Oryctolagus cuniculus: one gene and its partner. The protein of the gene in region 2 purifies or fractionates together with the protein of the main gene of each other region. This does not show direct contact. Links are inferred from orthologs where the notes say so. Each region holds a gene or a part of one and is shown on either strand. Other genes may lie near its edges. The genes, in order: CTBP1 and PRDM16.

Region 1 (7,217 bases), on a different chromosome or scaffold from region 2:
CTGAAAGACGTGGCCACCGTGGCCTTCTGTGACGCGCAGTCCACGCAGGAGATCCACGAGAAGGTACCTGTGCGCCCGGGCGAGGCGGGCTGGGGCGAGGCTCCCTGCGGGGCATCGGAGGAGGTGGGGCTTGGGAGGCCGAAGGCTGGAGCGGCCTCCTGGCTGGACGCCCGCAGGCAGTGCCACCGCGGGGCCCTCAGCTGCCGTAGTTCACGGGATGGACACGACCCGCTCTCTGGTGCCCCCCAGCGGTCACAGCAGCTCCTGCAGTTTGCTAAAGATCCAGGCCCTGTGAGAGACCCGAGCGTGGCCTCTGGGGCCTGGGCAGGGACGAGCTGGTCGCGAGCCCAGGCCCCGGGGCCGCACCTCAGAGGGCCTTCAGCGTTCCGCACGTGTGAGGGCCGCCCTGGGGGCACCGGACCGATCCAGGTGGTGGGCCAGGCCCCCAGGCGCCTCCCAGCCCCACCTGGGTCCCTCCGGCAGCTGTGAGCAGGACCAGGCCGGCACCAGGTCCTCGACACCATGGCAGCACCGTGGGCCGCGGGGGCAGGGAGATCTCAGACCACGGGAGGGGCCCAGGTGCCCTGGGCAGGACGCGGGGCCTGGCCACTCCCTCCCTGCACTCTCCCCGCGGCTCAAGCTCAGGGTAGGAAGGCTGCCGCTGTGTGTGCACGCATGTGTGACGTGTGCACGTGACACGTGCAGCGTGTGCAGTGTGCGTGACGTGGGGTATGTGCAGCGTGTGGCATGTGGCGTGTGTGTATGTGTTACGTGTGACGTGTGCAGCGTGTGGCATGTGGCGTGTGTGTATGTGTTACGTGTGACGTGTGCAGCGTGTGGCATGTGGCGTGTGTGTATGTGTTACGTGTGACGTGTGCAGCGTGTGGCATGTGGCGTGTGTGTATGTGTTACGTGTGACGTGTGCAGCGTGTGGCATGTGGCGTGTGTGTATGTGTTACGTGTGACGTGTGCAGCGTGTGGCATGTGGCGTGTGTGTATGTGTTACGTGTGACGTGTGCAGCGTGTGGCACGTGGCGTGTGTGTATGTGTTACGTGTGACGTGTGCAGCGTGTGGCATGTGGCGTGTGTGTATGTGTTACGTGTGACGTGTGCAGCGTGTGGCACGTGGCGTGTGTGTATGTGTTACGTGTGCAGCGTGTGGCACGTGGCGTGTGTGTATGTGTTACGTGTGACGTGTGCAGCGTGTGGCATGTGGCGTGTGTGTATGTGTTACGTGTGACGTGTGCAGCGTGTGGCATGTGACGTGTGTGTATGTGTTACGTGTGACGTGTGCAGCGTGTGGCATGTGGCGTGTGTGTATGTGTTACGTGTGACGTGTGCAGCGTGTGGCATGTGGCGTGTGTGTATGTGTTACGTGTGACGTGTGCAGCGTGTGGCACGTGGCGTGTGTGTATGTGTTACGTGTGCAGCGTGTGGCACGTGGCGTGTGTGTATGTGTTACGTGTGACGTGTGCAGCGTGTGGCATGTGGCGTGTGTGTGTTACGTGTGACATGTGCAGCGTGTGGGATGTGTGTGCCGCATGTGGGGTGTGTGTAGGGTGTGGGACGTGCGCCCCCACCAGGCCGCAGCCTGTGCTCCCGCGGCCGTGTCCACCCCGGCCGAGCACGGGGCGATGGCCTGCACAGCTGAGGCCGGGCCACCCTGCCAGCTGGGTCGTGGGAATGGAGCCTTGTCAGGGCCCCGGCTGTGCCCAGGGTCAGCGTGTGCGCCCTGGACTCCCGTGTCACGTCCCAGGACCACGCGCGTGCTGTGGGCCGTGGGGACAGCGTTTCTGGGTGGGTTTGTCACTGGGGACTCGTGTGTGTTTCAGGGCTCACCCCTGCTGGGGGTCACGGCCAGTGGCCCCGTTCCTGCTCCACTGCTGTCTGGGCTCAGGCTTGGGCCACGGCTCCTCAGAGCCCCCCTTTGCCGTGGCTGTGGCCCCCCACGGTGCTCAGGGCTGGGGGCCCTGCTGTACCCCACGCTCTGCCCCCCGCCACAGGTGCTGACGAGGCCGTGGGCGCCCTCGTGTACCCCACGCTCTGTCCCCTTCCCCTCCCCCACAGGTGCTGAACGAGGCCGTGGGCGCCCTCATGTACCACACCATCACGCTGACCAGGGAGGACCTGGAGAAGTTCAAGGCCCTGCGCGTCATCGTCCGCATTGGCAGCGGCTTCGACAACATCGACATCAAGTCAGCCGGGGACTTGGGTAGGTGCCCGTCCCTGCCGCCCAGGCCCCGCCCCGCGTGGGGCTCCCACAGGAGTCCGCAGCCTGGGGCTGGGCTGACTGCCGTGTGGCCCCCGAGTCAGTCCCACGCCTGTCACGGGCCAGGCTGACCCTGTGTCCCCACAGGCATCGCCGTGTGCAACGTGCCCGCCGCGGCCGTGGAGGAGACGGCGGACTCCACCATGTGCCACGTCCTCAATCTGTACCGGCGCACGACGTGGCTGCACCAGGCGCTGCGGGAGGGCACGCGGGTGCAGAGCGTGGAGCAGATCCGGGAGGTGGCCTCGGGGGCCGCGAGGATCCGCGGGGAGACCCTGGGCATCATCGGACTGGGTGCGTGGCCGCTGGCTCGGCAAAGGATGGGGGGCAGCCCGGGGGGGCGCCGTGGGCATCACACACGCACATACACAGACGTCACGCAGATGTCAGCAGCCGTCACGGGTGTCACACACACAACATGGACGTCACACACAGGTGTCAGCAGCTATCACATCACATACACACATGGATGTCACACTCATGTCAACAGTTCTAACGGGCATCACGTGACACGGGCACAAGAACATCACAGGAATGTCACGTGCGTCACACAAATGACAGGCACACGTGGGTATCACATGGGTGTCATGACACAGGGACATGGGTGTCCCATGAACATCAAGGCATCACACGGGTATCATATGCAGACGAGATGGCCATATGTGGGCATCACATGGGTATCACAGGCATGATATACCTGGGCACCACGCCTGTGTCACAGGCATCACGTGGGTGTCATGGGCACACACGTGGCTGATACGAGCACAGGGACACGGCTATCGGGCACACAGGCCTGAGAGTTGTCACACGTGGGGAACACGTGGGCGTTGCATGGGCACAGGCACCAGATGTGCAGCCAGGTGGGTGCTGCCATCAGGTGAGGGTGCCCAGAGCCTGTGCCCCTGGGGGTGGTCTCTGTCCCGTCCGCTTCCTTGTCACGTGTGGGCGCCAGGCCCCAGCATGGCCTAGAGAGGCACACGTGTGAGTCTGGGTGGCCCCGGAAGTGTCGTGCAGGGAGCCGGGGCTGGGAGAGGGGGTCCCGTGTGAGCCCCAGAAGCCGTCTCGCGGGGCCTCAGGCCTTTCTCTGGAAGGCGCTGGCCCTGGCTGTGGCCCCAAGCCTGGTTCTCGGCCGGGCATTGCGCTGACCAGGGGTACGGGCTGTATTGCCTGGGGGTGGGTGGGTGCTGTGGCTGTCCGGGCCTGCCCCTACTGGCGGCGTCCTCCGGGTCCCTGGCACACGCGATTTGCAGAACGGGCAGAAGCTGGGCTGTGGGAGGTTTGCTGTGGACACACGGCCTGTGGCACGGGCAGCTGTGGCCTGCGGGGCTCCTGCCGTGGTCTCGGCATCTGGGGTGCCCTGCTCTGGCGGCCAGTGTCCAGTGTGGCCTGAGCCTGTGGCCCTCGGTGTGGTTCTCCTGAGCCTGGGGCCTTCTGGGAGCCGAGGGCTGAGGTTCTGTGTCCGGGGACGCCCCCGAGTGCCGCAGCCCCACTGGGCAGACCTGAGCCCTGCCCACGCCCCTGTGTGTGCCCCTCTGTGGGTTCCACGGGTGACCCATGTGATGGCCACTGCTGGCCAAGTGGAGCAGCTGTCTCCCTGCTGCTGCTGGCACGGGGCACCTCTGCACCCCATGCGGGTCTGAGGTGGGGTCGTGACCTCGGCACCCTGTGTGTTCCCCAGTCGGGCAGCGGCTTCAGGTGTCACTCAGGACCTCCTGCTGGTGAAGGGGACCCCACTGCGTGACTGCACCCCTGTGTGTGTGTGTGTGTGTGTGTGTGTGTGTGTGTGTGAGGGAGAGACAGGCAGAGTGAGAGTGACAGAGACAGAGCGAGCGTGACCGAGACAGTGACAGACACAGACGGGAGAGTGACAGAGCAAGCCCCATCTGCCGTTCACCCCCCAGATGCCCGCACAGCAGGGGCTTGGCTGGAGCCAGGACCAGCAGCTCCGTCCAGGCCCTGTAGGTGAAGGGCTCAGCGCTGGGGCCCTCTCCTGCCCCCACCCCCGCCCCCGCCCCCAGCACTGGCAGTGCCCTGCGCCCCGCCCCACCGGTCCTTTACCCATAGCTGCAGAGAAAGTTCTAGAACCATGGCTGGGGCTTCACGGGGGAGGCCTCTCCTGGCCGTGCCGTGTGCACTTTTCCAAATGTCTGAGACCCCACCCCTGCCCTGCTGTGGGGGCCCCAGGATTTCTTTCTTTCTTTCTTTTTTTTTTTTTTTTTTTTTAAGTTTTATGTATTTATTTGAAAGTCAGAGTTACACAGAGAGAGGAGAGGCAGAGAGAGAGAGAGAGGTCTTCCATCCGCTGGTTCACTCCCCAGATGACCTCAACAGCCGGAGCTGTGCCGATTCAAAGCTAGGAGCCAGGAGCTTCTTCCGGGTCTCCCACGTGGGTGCAGGGGCCCAAGGACTTGAGCCACCTTCCACTGCTTTCCCAGGCCATGGTAGGAGCTGGGTTGGAAGTGGAGCAGCCGGGACTGGAACCGGCGCCCATATGGAATGCCGGCCCTGCAGGCGGCAGTTTTACCCGCTCTGCCACAGCGCCAGCCCCCTGGGTATTTGTTACCATGCCCCAGACCCCTCAGCGGCTCCTGGGACCCTGGCCCACGTTTTGTGAGTTGGGGTCTCCACCCCCGTGCAGACGGCCCCTGCTTGCAACTCATCCTGGAGGTTGCTGCACCTGTGTGTCTGTGAGAGACGTGGGTTCCGGAACGCTCCTGCTCTGGGTGGCGCCTGTCCTGTCTGTTTTCTAGAATGTTCTCTACTATGCCTGCTCTTCCTGTGACCAGGACGTCGCCCGCCTCTCTGTGTCCTCTCGTTCCTCACGGGGGACCCTCCCAGGAGTCCCGTCCACACCCAAGGCGGTCCCCTGGCCGGCAGCCGGGCTAGGGCCCAAGCCGCCTGATGGCTTCCCTTCCGTCCGAGGCGTTGCTGGCCCGTGATCTGCATGGAGCGTGTTCTGAGCTTTGTGCCCTGGCCTCCGTCCCTCCAAGAGGGTGGCATGCGCCCACACCCTAGCCCTGCCCCGCTCGTCCCGTGTTGGGGCAGCTTCCCCTCCCGCCCGGGCTCCTGGAGCCCAGCCCGTGTCGTCCCTGGCAGCACAGCAGGCACGCGAGGAGCCAGCCTCCGCCCTGACCGCAGCCCAGCGCTCGGCTGCTCGCGTGGTGGGGCTGGGCAGCAGGTGGGTCCTGGCGGGGCCACAGCCGGCACCGGGGCTGGGGAAGCGCACCTGCCCGCCCTGCACCGCTTCTCAGGGCCAAGCTCAGAGCAGCGGCTCCCAGGTTGCCGTCTCCCCTGGTGGCGGCCGGAATTCAGATCCAGAGACACCGCTGAGCTGGACTTGAAGCCGGACCAGAGGTGTGGCCACGGTGCATGTGTGCACAGCATTGTGTGTGGTTCCAGGCATCTCGTGTCACCCCTGCAGAGGGGACAGAGCTGGCTGTGGGGCTGACTCTGGCCACAAGGACGTGGGGCTCATGGGGTGCAGACACGGGGCTCGCGGTGGTCATGCGGCACCCACCACGGTGTTCACGCGGTGTTCACGCGGCACCTGTCTCCGTGGCCATGTGACACGGCTCACACGGTGGTCGTGTTCTGGTCTCATGGTGACCACGTGGCATGTGTCTCATGTGGGGTCTCCACCCGCAGGCCGTGTGGGGCAGGCGGTGGCGCTGCGGGCCAAGGCGTTCGGCTTCAGCGTGCTGTTCTACGACCCGTACCTGCCGGACGGCGTGGAGCGGGCGCTGGGGCTGCAGCGCGTGGGCACCCTGCAGGACCTGCTGTTCCACAGCGACTGCGTGACCCTGCACTGCGGCCTCAACGAGCACAACCACCACCTCATCAACGACTTCACCGTGAAGCAGGTGCCGCCGGGCCTGTACACTGTCCACGGGGCGGCCCTGTCCCCTGTCCATGGGGCCTGTCCACTGTCCATGGGGGCCTGTGCGTGGGGCGGCCCTGTCCACTGTCCACGGGGCCTGTCCACTGTCCACGGGGCTGCCCTGTGCACGGGGCCTGTGCACGGGGCTGCCCTGTCCACGGGGGTCTCTGCCTGTGGCCCTGTCCATGGGGCCTGTGCACGGGGTGGCCCTGTCCACGGGGTCTGTCCATGGGGCCTGTCCACGGGGCCTGTGCACGGGACTGCCCTGTCCACAGGGGCCTCTGCCTGTGGCCCTGTCCATGGGGCGGTCCTGCGGGGGCAGCCAGGTGGCCTCCTGCAGCTCCAGGCCTTTGATGGTCACTTGTTTGCTTGCTGCAGGGGGTGGGGGTGCACACGGGTCCACACGTATGGTGGAAGGGGCCTGCCACACCCTCTCTCCCATGGTCAAAGGGTGGGGGGGTGGTTGGAGCTGTGACAGGGAAGTGGCACAGGCAGTGGCACTGGGACCCAGGGCCAGGAGGACCTCGGGGTGAGGGGGGGCAGTCAGACGCTGACCGCAAGACGGGGCAGCCGGCTCCAGGGCCGTCTGTGAAGGCAAGAACGGCCCTGCCCTGGCACGGAGCTCCACACAGCCCACCCTGGCCGGGTCTGGCTGCCGGCCGGGGCCTCGCGGTGCTGAACTCCCTCCCCAGGGGGCGCTGCAGCCGCGGCTGGGCGGGCCGGGGCCGGGGCCGGGCCTCTTCCCCAGTGGCCCGGGGCGCTGCCTGGTGCCAGCCTCCCTGTCCATCCCCCAGATGCGGCAGGGGGCCTTCCTGGTGAACACGGCGCGAGGCGGCCTGGTGGACGAGAAGGCCTTGGCCCAGGCCCTCAAGGAGGGCCGGATCCGCGGCGCGGCGCTGGACGTGCACGAGTCGGAGCCCTTCAGGTGCGGGCTGCCCGGCGTCGGGGCTCTGTCTGCGTGGGTGGGCACGCGAGCCTGTGGCTGCAGGCCAGGGGCCTCTTGCTGGTCAGTGCCCTTGAGTGGCATCTGGCCTGGCCTCAGGCAGTCCCGCCGTGCTTGGTTCGGGCCCG
Region 2 (7,217 bases):
GACACCTGGTGCTGGCATACCTGGGGCGGACGCCTGGGTGCTGGCACACCTGGGGAGGACACCTGGGTGCTGGCATACGTGGGGCAGATACCTGGGTGCTGGCACACCTGACACGGATACCTGGGTGCTGGCACACCTGGGGAGGACGCCTGGTGCTGGCACACCTGGCACGGATACCTGGGTGCCAGCACACCTGGGGTGGACGCCTGGTGCTGGCATACCTGGGGTGGACACAGCTGGGAGTGGACACCCCCGGAGGCCAGTGCTCTCACTGTGGGGCCGTCCAGGGCGGTGGGTGCCCTCCCTGAGATGGTTGTTCTACAGTCACTGGGAGCAGCCCGGTGCCTGCCCTGGCAGGGGAGGGAGGGGCCTGGCGCCCACAGCAGGGGTCCCGGCCGCAGGCCCAGCCTGGATTCAATGCGCAGCCCCCACCCCGGGTCCCCCCTCAATGAAGCACCCAGGCAGCGCGAGGCTTGGAAAAGCACACAGATTTATTGCATATCAATCTCCTGTGTAAGCTGGCGGGAGCCGGGACGATGACACGGGCTACACAGTTCTAGTCTACAGCATCGACCTCAGATCCGGCTGCTCCCGGCGTCACGGAAGGAATTCGTACGCAAGCACATTTGTCTGCATCACAAGCATCGAAATGAAATTCGCAAAACCGCTCTTGGAAAGGGTCGCTCCCCTCACCTCCTCCCATCCCCGCCTTCTCCCGCCGCGAGCTCCACATTCGGACCCAGCCCGGGTCGCGCGGCCGGTGAGTGCACCCACGGGCTTCTCCACGTGGTGAAGATTCACGGACACACGGTGAAGACCGCCGAGCACGAGTCACGCACAGTTCACTACAGACAACAGGAGCAACTCACAACCAGGGGATGCGGGACAAGCACCAGCCTCCTTCCTGGGGTCTTTTTTCATTTTCTTTTTTTTAAAAAAACATATGAAAACCAGACATTTACTTTTGATTTATTTTTCAACACTATACAGCTCTAAAAGGAACAAAAACGAAGCAGAAACTAAGGCAGATCTGTAATGTAACAACGGCCAAGGGCAGCAGGACAGATGCTCTCCGTTACAAAGTATCGAGCCGCACACGCGTGCACGGGCAGCCACCAGCCCTCTGTGCCCGTGGTGGCGAGCTGCTGGCGGAACCTCAGGCCGGCTGCCTGCACGTGGCTCACACGCTGGGAGACCTGGGAGACCCGCGCTGCCCGGCCCCGTCTTGTTTGTTTTCCCAGAAGTGGGCCCAAGGAATGCGTGGCACTAAAGGGTCACGTGGCAAACGCGGCGTGGGAGGAGGGAGGAAAAGTTCTCGGGAGAACGCGAGAACGTGTTTGTCACAGTTTCGCTCAAGGTGCAGAGCTTTGTGGCTTTCACGCCCTGCCCCCACCTGCTGGGCGCTGCCCCCGCCCCCAGGAAGCACAGTGCACAGAACTCTTAGCAGGTTCAGTTATGCGGGCGGGGGGCGGGGGCTGCAGTCCAGTGCTTCGAGGCTCGGAGGCCTGCACACGTGGTAAAAGCACTCAGGCGAGGGGCTCCCAGCTCCCGGGGCAGCAGCCAGGCAGAGGAACCAAGGGCCAGACCCCGGGGACCAGGGCTGTGCGGGGCCGGGGAGGGCCTGCAGGGACCTAGCACAGGAAGGCCCCGGCCTGGCGGCCTCTCCCACACCTGTGCCCGGTCCGTGCACTGAGCCGTGCCCGGGGCTGGGGAGGCCGCTGGAATCCCTGCCCTGGGTGTGGTCAGGGACTCTGGGGACCTGCTCCTGGCCCGAGGCCAGGGGCCTCCGCATGTCCTGATCGTCCCGGGGGCGCGGGGGGCCTGGGGGGAGGGTGCTGACTCACAAGGGCTGCAGGGTGGCGGAGGGAAGGAGCGGGAGGGGCCCCTGGATTTCAGTTTTGGGGAGCAAGGTCGGCACCAGGGTAGTAGCCTTGTGTGAACCCCCGCAGTGGTCCGCCAGCCAGCAGCCCCGCCCAGTGCCTGCCTGTGCTGCTCGGTGACCTGGCTCCCACTGGCGTTCCGGGGGCCGGCATCATGGCTCCCTGCCTCTCAGTGGGCCTCCTGGTCCTGACAGTGGCCGGCTGAGGGCCCAGGCACTGCTGGGCTGGGGCTGGAGCTGGCGCAGGGTCAAGCCAGGTGCGCAGGACCGGCTGGTGGAGGCCATGTTTTGGGGGTGCACCAGCATGGGAGATCAGTGCTCTCTTGGTTGGGGGGTTTTGGGACAGAGCCCCCCAACCCTAATGCCAAGTGGTGGGAGTAGGGACATGCTCGAGGGGGAACGGCTGGTGGTCCTCACTGTCGGCGACTCTCCGGGAAGAAGAGAAATCTCCAGAGAGGGGGCGGAGCTAGCGCCCCGGGGCCGCGGAGGGCCCAGGGGAGGGCAGCCCCTGCCTGCTCGGTCACTGCCCAGGAGAGACACGTGGGAGAGAGAGAGAGAGAGAGAGAGAGAGACGGACAGAGGAGGAGTCTTAGCACACAAAGAAGCACACAGCTCATTCGTTCGCAGGAGAAATCATATAATTTGGTTTACAGAAATAGGGTGTTTACAGGGTCGCGTTCAGATGAGGGGAGACTTCCTACGTGGTCGGTACCTGGCGGCCCGGCTGCGGCTGGGCTGCAGGCTTCCGACGGGGCCGCGCCAGCTCCTCGGCTCCCGCCTTGCCGCTGCACACGCTCGTGCTAGGCGGCCTCCGTCTTGCGTCCAGGTAGATCCGGCGAGGGCTGACCCCTGACCCCAGGACCTGCAGCGCTGCGTCGCCCACAGGGGCCTCTCTGCCGTGAGTCTCCGGCAGGAGCCTGGACCCCGGCACCCACTGTCTTTGGCCTGGAGCAGCCAGGACACGCGTGCGTCAGGGCCCCCGGGGCGCACACGGAGGAGGTGTCCTTGGAATGACAAGTCCACGCGGCCGCGGCCGCAGTCGTCTGCGTTCTCGCGGTTTCCTCTTAAGGGCAACGTGGGTGATTTTTTCTCTTCTTAGTGGGACACTAGTATGAGGATTTGTTTTTTTCCCCAAACGACAAAAGAAATAAATAGAACACTCGTCGTCAATGCGAATGCGTCTGAAACTCAGACTGATCAGGGCGTGATTGTCTGGGCACGGGCGGCGGCGGCGGCAGGAGTCGCGGCGGGCGGGGCGGGGTATTTGGCACGTCAGCTGGCCGCCCTCCCTGGTGACGCATCACACAACACACAACCTTATACACGGTTTTGGTCCCTCACTAGATACTTATATTAACATCATTTCTTCACAATAAGAATGTCTAATGCCAAAAAAAATACTGTTAAGGAAGAAATAAAATAAGAAAAGAAATGATTAGAAAAATTACAAGTTATATACAGATTAAGGTGAATTCCATCACGGAAAAATTATACTTCGAAGTTGGCCCCATGGGAATAATTTAAAGCCCGTCCCAGTGGAGAAGCCACTGCCGTGCCCGGGGGCTGGGCGCTCTCTCTGCAGCCCCGGACGTCTGGCCAGGAGCCTGCGCCAAGGGTGGCACGGCGGGGTGGCCGACCTGGGGCCGTAGGCACAGGTAGCGCTTGGCGTCCTGGTGCAGCCGAGCTGCGCAGCCCCCGCCCCGCCCTGGGTGGCCACGGGCAGGACACGGAGCCAGAATGTGGCCAATAGGCCCCACCTCTGGAAGGGTGGCCAGGGCCCCCGGCCACCCCCGGGTGAGGGCCTGAGCCTCGGGCTCCTGGCTTCCCCACGAAGCCGGGGAGTCTGGGGTGGTCGCCCGTGGGTTCTCCAGCAGCCGCGTGGAGGCCCTGGCAGGAGCTCCAGGCCGCCCAGGCGGGCACACCTCCAGGTCCTGGCCCCGGGCAGGCCTGCAGCCCGGGCACCGCGTCTGAGACGCCTCGGTCCAGTCTGCACCCCACGCTCTGCCTCGGGGCACCCGGAATCAACCTGGCTTGTACAAATGGGATCCGAGATAGAAAATCTCTCCGTTATCTACAGTATAAAGAGCTCGCCCAAGCACAGTGCTGGCTCCCAGCGCCCGGGTTTGCGAGAAGCTGAAATTTCAAAGCAATGCAAAATTACTTTTAAAAAACAATTTGCAAGTCATTTTTTTGATTTTTAAAAAATACTGTCTATTTTTAAAACCCACATGCTTAAATAGAATCTGTAGTCAATAAGATTACCAAAAGCGTCACTCTTGTCATTCTCATTATAAAAAGCGCCCGCGCCCGGTCTCGGCAGAGCGCACCTGCCCCGGGCCGGTCCCTTCCTCGGTGACTCCGGGCGCCCGGAAGCGGCCCAGCTCCTGGCCCGGCCTGGGGCTGCTTTGGAGCGGCAGCTCCGGGAGGCGAGGGCTGGGCTCGACCGACCAGGCCCAGGGCCGGTTTCCAGGGATGAGGAGGGAGCTCCCCCCAGCCCCGGGGCTTGCAGCTTCTGAGTCTTCATCAGGAAAGTTCGACGCGGCCCACGCAGGCAGGGGACGGCTGTGGGGGTGGTCGGAGGAGGTGACACGGGGCTTCTCCCTGGCCTCGCCTTCATCCTGGGCAGCCGGCACCCTCGCTCTGGACTCCAGGCCCATCAGAGGTGGTTCATGGGGTTAAAGGCGCCGGACTCCGAGGCGGCTCCCGCCATGTTCAGCCAAGCGTCCAGCGAGCTCTGGGAGGGGGTGTGGAGGGCAGCATCCTCCGAGAGGGACAGCATCATTGCGTATGCCTGTGGGGGGGACACGCAGGCGGGCCGTGAGCAGGGAGCCTCCCCCTGGCCCACACTGTGGGGCGGAGGGCAGCGGGGCCAGGGAGACCCAGAGTCTCCCCTGCCCTGCAGCGGGGAGGGAGAAGGGCCATCCCTCCTGCCCAGAGCGACGCCAAGAGTCCCCGTCCTGGCCAGGGGCTCGCTCGCGGTCACCCTGCCCCGCCCCTGCGTGGTTCGGTTGGTGATCGGGAGTTAAGCGCAGGTGTCTGCTCTGGGCACAGGTGGGAGTTCCTGTGAGACCCTGCGCTCCTGCCGGGCCTGGGGACCCCAGAGCCGCTCTGGGAGTAGGCACCGGAAGCCTCTGCAGGCCACGGAATGATTCGGCGGTGCGGTGGGGGAGAGACGGGGCCGAGCACGGGGTGCTGGGGAGGCACCCAAGTCGACACCCGGACAGAATTAGCAGGAAGACGAAAGACAGACATGCAGACGGCTGTAGCTGAGACGGGGCGAGGCTGTCTGGGGGGCCGGCTGCAGGGAGACAGCAGGTGGGCACTGCGGCCGCCTACGCTGGGGCCCGGAGGCCAGGGCGTCGGGGCCTAGTGACTCCCTGGCCCTGGTCACGGCTGCAGCTTAGCAGCAGGGGCCACCCGGCTGAGTGGCCGCCCCCGGGCACGGGGCTGTGGGTCGCACTGGCCCACAGCAGAGAGGGAAGTGGGGGCTGGGGCTGCAGGCCATAGCGTGGCCGGGAACCTGCTCACAGACCCTGCCCGCTGCCCTGAGGGAGGGGGCCCAGGGGAGGGGGCCCACGGCCGCAAGGCCACAGTGCCCCGGGCTGCTCTCGGCCCCTCCCGGCTCCACTGGCACCCTCGGGCCTCAGGGGTCCTATCTGTCTCCAGGGGCCGAGGGTCGGGCGGGGTCCCGAGCTCCCCGGGGAGGCGGGTACCTACCTGGCTCTTAGCCTGCCTGTACAGGGTCTGCTTTAAAGCCTCAGAATCTACGGAGGGGTTAAGCACATCTCTCACTTCAAACGCTTCCTCTGCGGCTCTGCGGAGGTCCAGCCCCTTCCCGAAGGTCGGCATTGGCTCCAGAGCTAACAGGCCGCCTTCGCGCTCCTCAACACACCTGCACCAAGGACCGGGGAGAGGGGCCTGGGGTGAGCCCCCCGAGGCCGCGCGCCCGGCTCCGGGCCTGCACAAGCCACACGCACAGGAGACGGACACACAGACACACGGACACCTGGACGGGAGACCACGTGGAGGCAGGACAGAGGGGGCAGAGGCCCCAAGGCGTGAGTGGTGCACAGGGCGTGCGGGGTCCCGGGGAGGCCTTGATTCGCTGCGACTTGGGGGAAGCTCCGGCAGGGTGGGGCTGCCCCTCCCAGGACCCGGGGTGGCGCCGAGGCGGCGGCCTCCCCCGGGGGAATCAGGATGCTGGCGATGTCGCCGGCTGCCGGGAGTCAGAGGCGAGCAGCGGCCTGGCGCCCAGAGCCCCAGCAGGGCTGCAGCCCAGGGGCCCGGCCAGGAGCGCCCTTCCCCAGGGGTGCCCATGGGGCTGAAGCCTTGAGCTCCCGCCGGGGGCGGAGGGAGGCCCCGGCTGGGCGGGGCTGAGGAGGGGGCCACCTTCCTCCACTCAGAGCCCTGCGCACCTTCGGGTGTGGTCAAAGCCCAAGGCCAAGGAGGCGGGCGGCTCCTCGTCCTCCTCATCGTCGTAGGTGCCCTGGGGCTCGGGCGTGGGCGACACGGCGTCCTCCTGGGACTTCCCGGCCAGGCTGTCCTCGTCCTCCTCCAGCTCCTCCTCCTCCTCCTCCTCCCCGTCCTCCGGCTTCTCGCTGGCCAAGCCCGGACACTGGGGGCTCCCGTCCAGGTCCTGGACCGCCGGCCTGAAGGGACAGTGAGCGGGCAGTTGGGCAGCGCTCAGGGGACCCCTGCTCACTCCGGACCCCGAAGGCCGGCGGCCCGGCTCCGTCCGCTCTTCCCGCCCGCTCCTCGCGGCCTGCCAGCCTCTCCCCTAGGAAGCTTTTGGGGCCGCGGCTGCCTTGAGCTGGGCCCCGTCCCTCGTCCCTGTGGGCGCCGGCGGAGGCTGGGAAGATCCAAGGAGGGAGGCCCCACATTCAGGGTCCCCAGCGAGGGGGGTGTTGGGAAGAAGCTGTCTGGCTGCGGCCGAGGGACGCTGCGGAGGGCAGCAGGCGCAGGGCCCCCTGTCTTGTCCAGGTGGCCCTCGGGGACTCTGGGGGACAAGGGGGCGTCTCAGCAGGACATGCGGTGCCTCCGTGGGCTCCTCGCTGCTGGCTCTCACAGCCCCCTCCTTCCCACGTGGCAGATGCCCGATCTGCCTGGTGCCCGGCCACCTGTGGACTGCACTCACACCCGTGTCCCCAGGGGTGGGGGCTCTGGGGCCGGGCGGGTTCTGGGTCCCGCTTCCTGTCCTCCGTGGCTTCTGCCCTCTCGGTGCCGTTGGAGCAGGCCCCTCCGGTCGGCGCTGGGCGGGGCATGGGGCGCTGCAGGCGCAGAGCCCAGGGCCAGCCCCGGCGAGCCCACCACGTCGCTGTGGGTCCTGGCGGCCCCGTGT

Evidence for each region.
Region 1: the proteins of PRDM16 (region 2) and CTBP1 purify together in Homo sapiens (affinity purification with mass spectrometry; 3 studies listed by BioGRID and IntAct, with this or other methods). This does not show direct contact. The link is inferred for Oryctolagus cuniculus from reciprocal best matches to the Homo sapiens genes PRDM16 and CTBP1.

Annotation. Positions count from the first base shown.
Region 1 is NC_091433.1:409,541-416,757, reverse strand, and holds part of CTBP1 (C-terminal-binding protein 1), read left to right. Parts: coding exon 1-63; intron 64-2,067; coding exon 2,068-2,212; intron 2,213-2,356; coding exon 2,357-2,563; intron 2,564-5,914; coding exon 5,915-6,129; intron 6,130-6,940; coding exon 6,941-7,071; intron 7,072-7,217. UniProt on the Homo sapiens protein: Corepressor targeting diverse transcription regulators such as GLIS2 or BCL6. Has dehydrogenase activity. Involved in controlling the equilibrium between tubular and stacked structures in the Golgi complex.
Region 2 is NC_091438.1:162,973,043-162,980,259, forward strand, and holds the end of PRDM16 (histone-lysine N-methyltransferase PRDM16), read right to left. Parts: intron 6,529-7,217; coding exon 6,295-6,528; intron 5,772-6,294; coding exon 5,597-5,771; intron 4,671-5,596; coding exon 4,536-4,670; 3' UTR 474-4,535; downstream 1-473. UniProt on the Homo sapiens protein: Binds DNA and functions as a transcriptional regulator. Displays histone methyltransferase activity and monomethylates 'Lys-9' of histone H3 (H3K9me1) in vitro.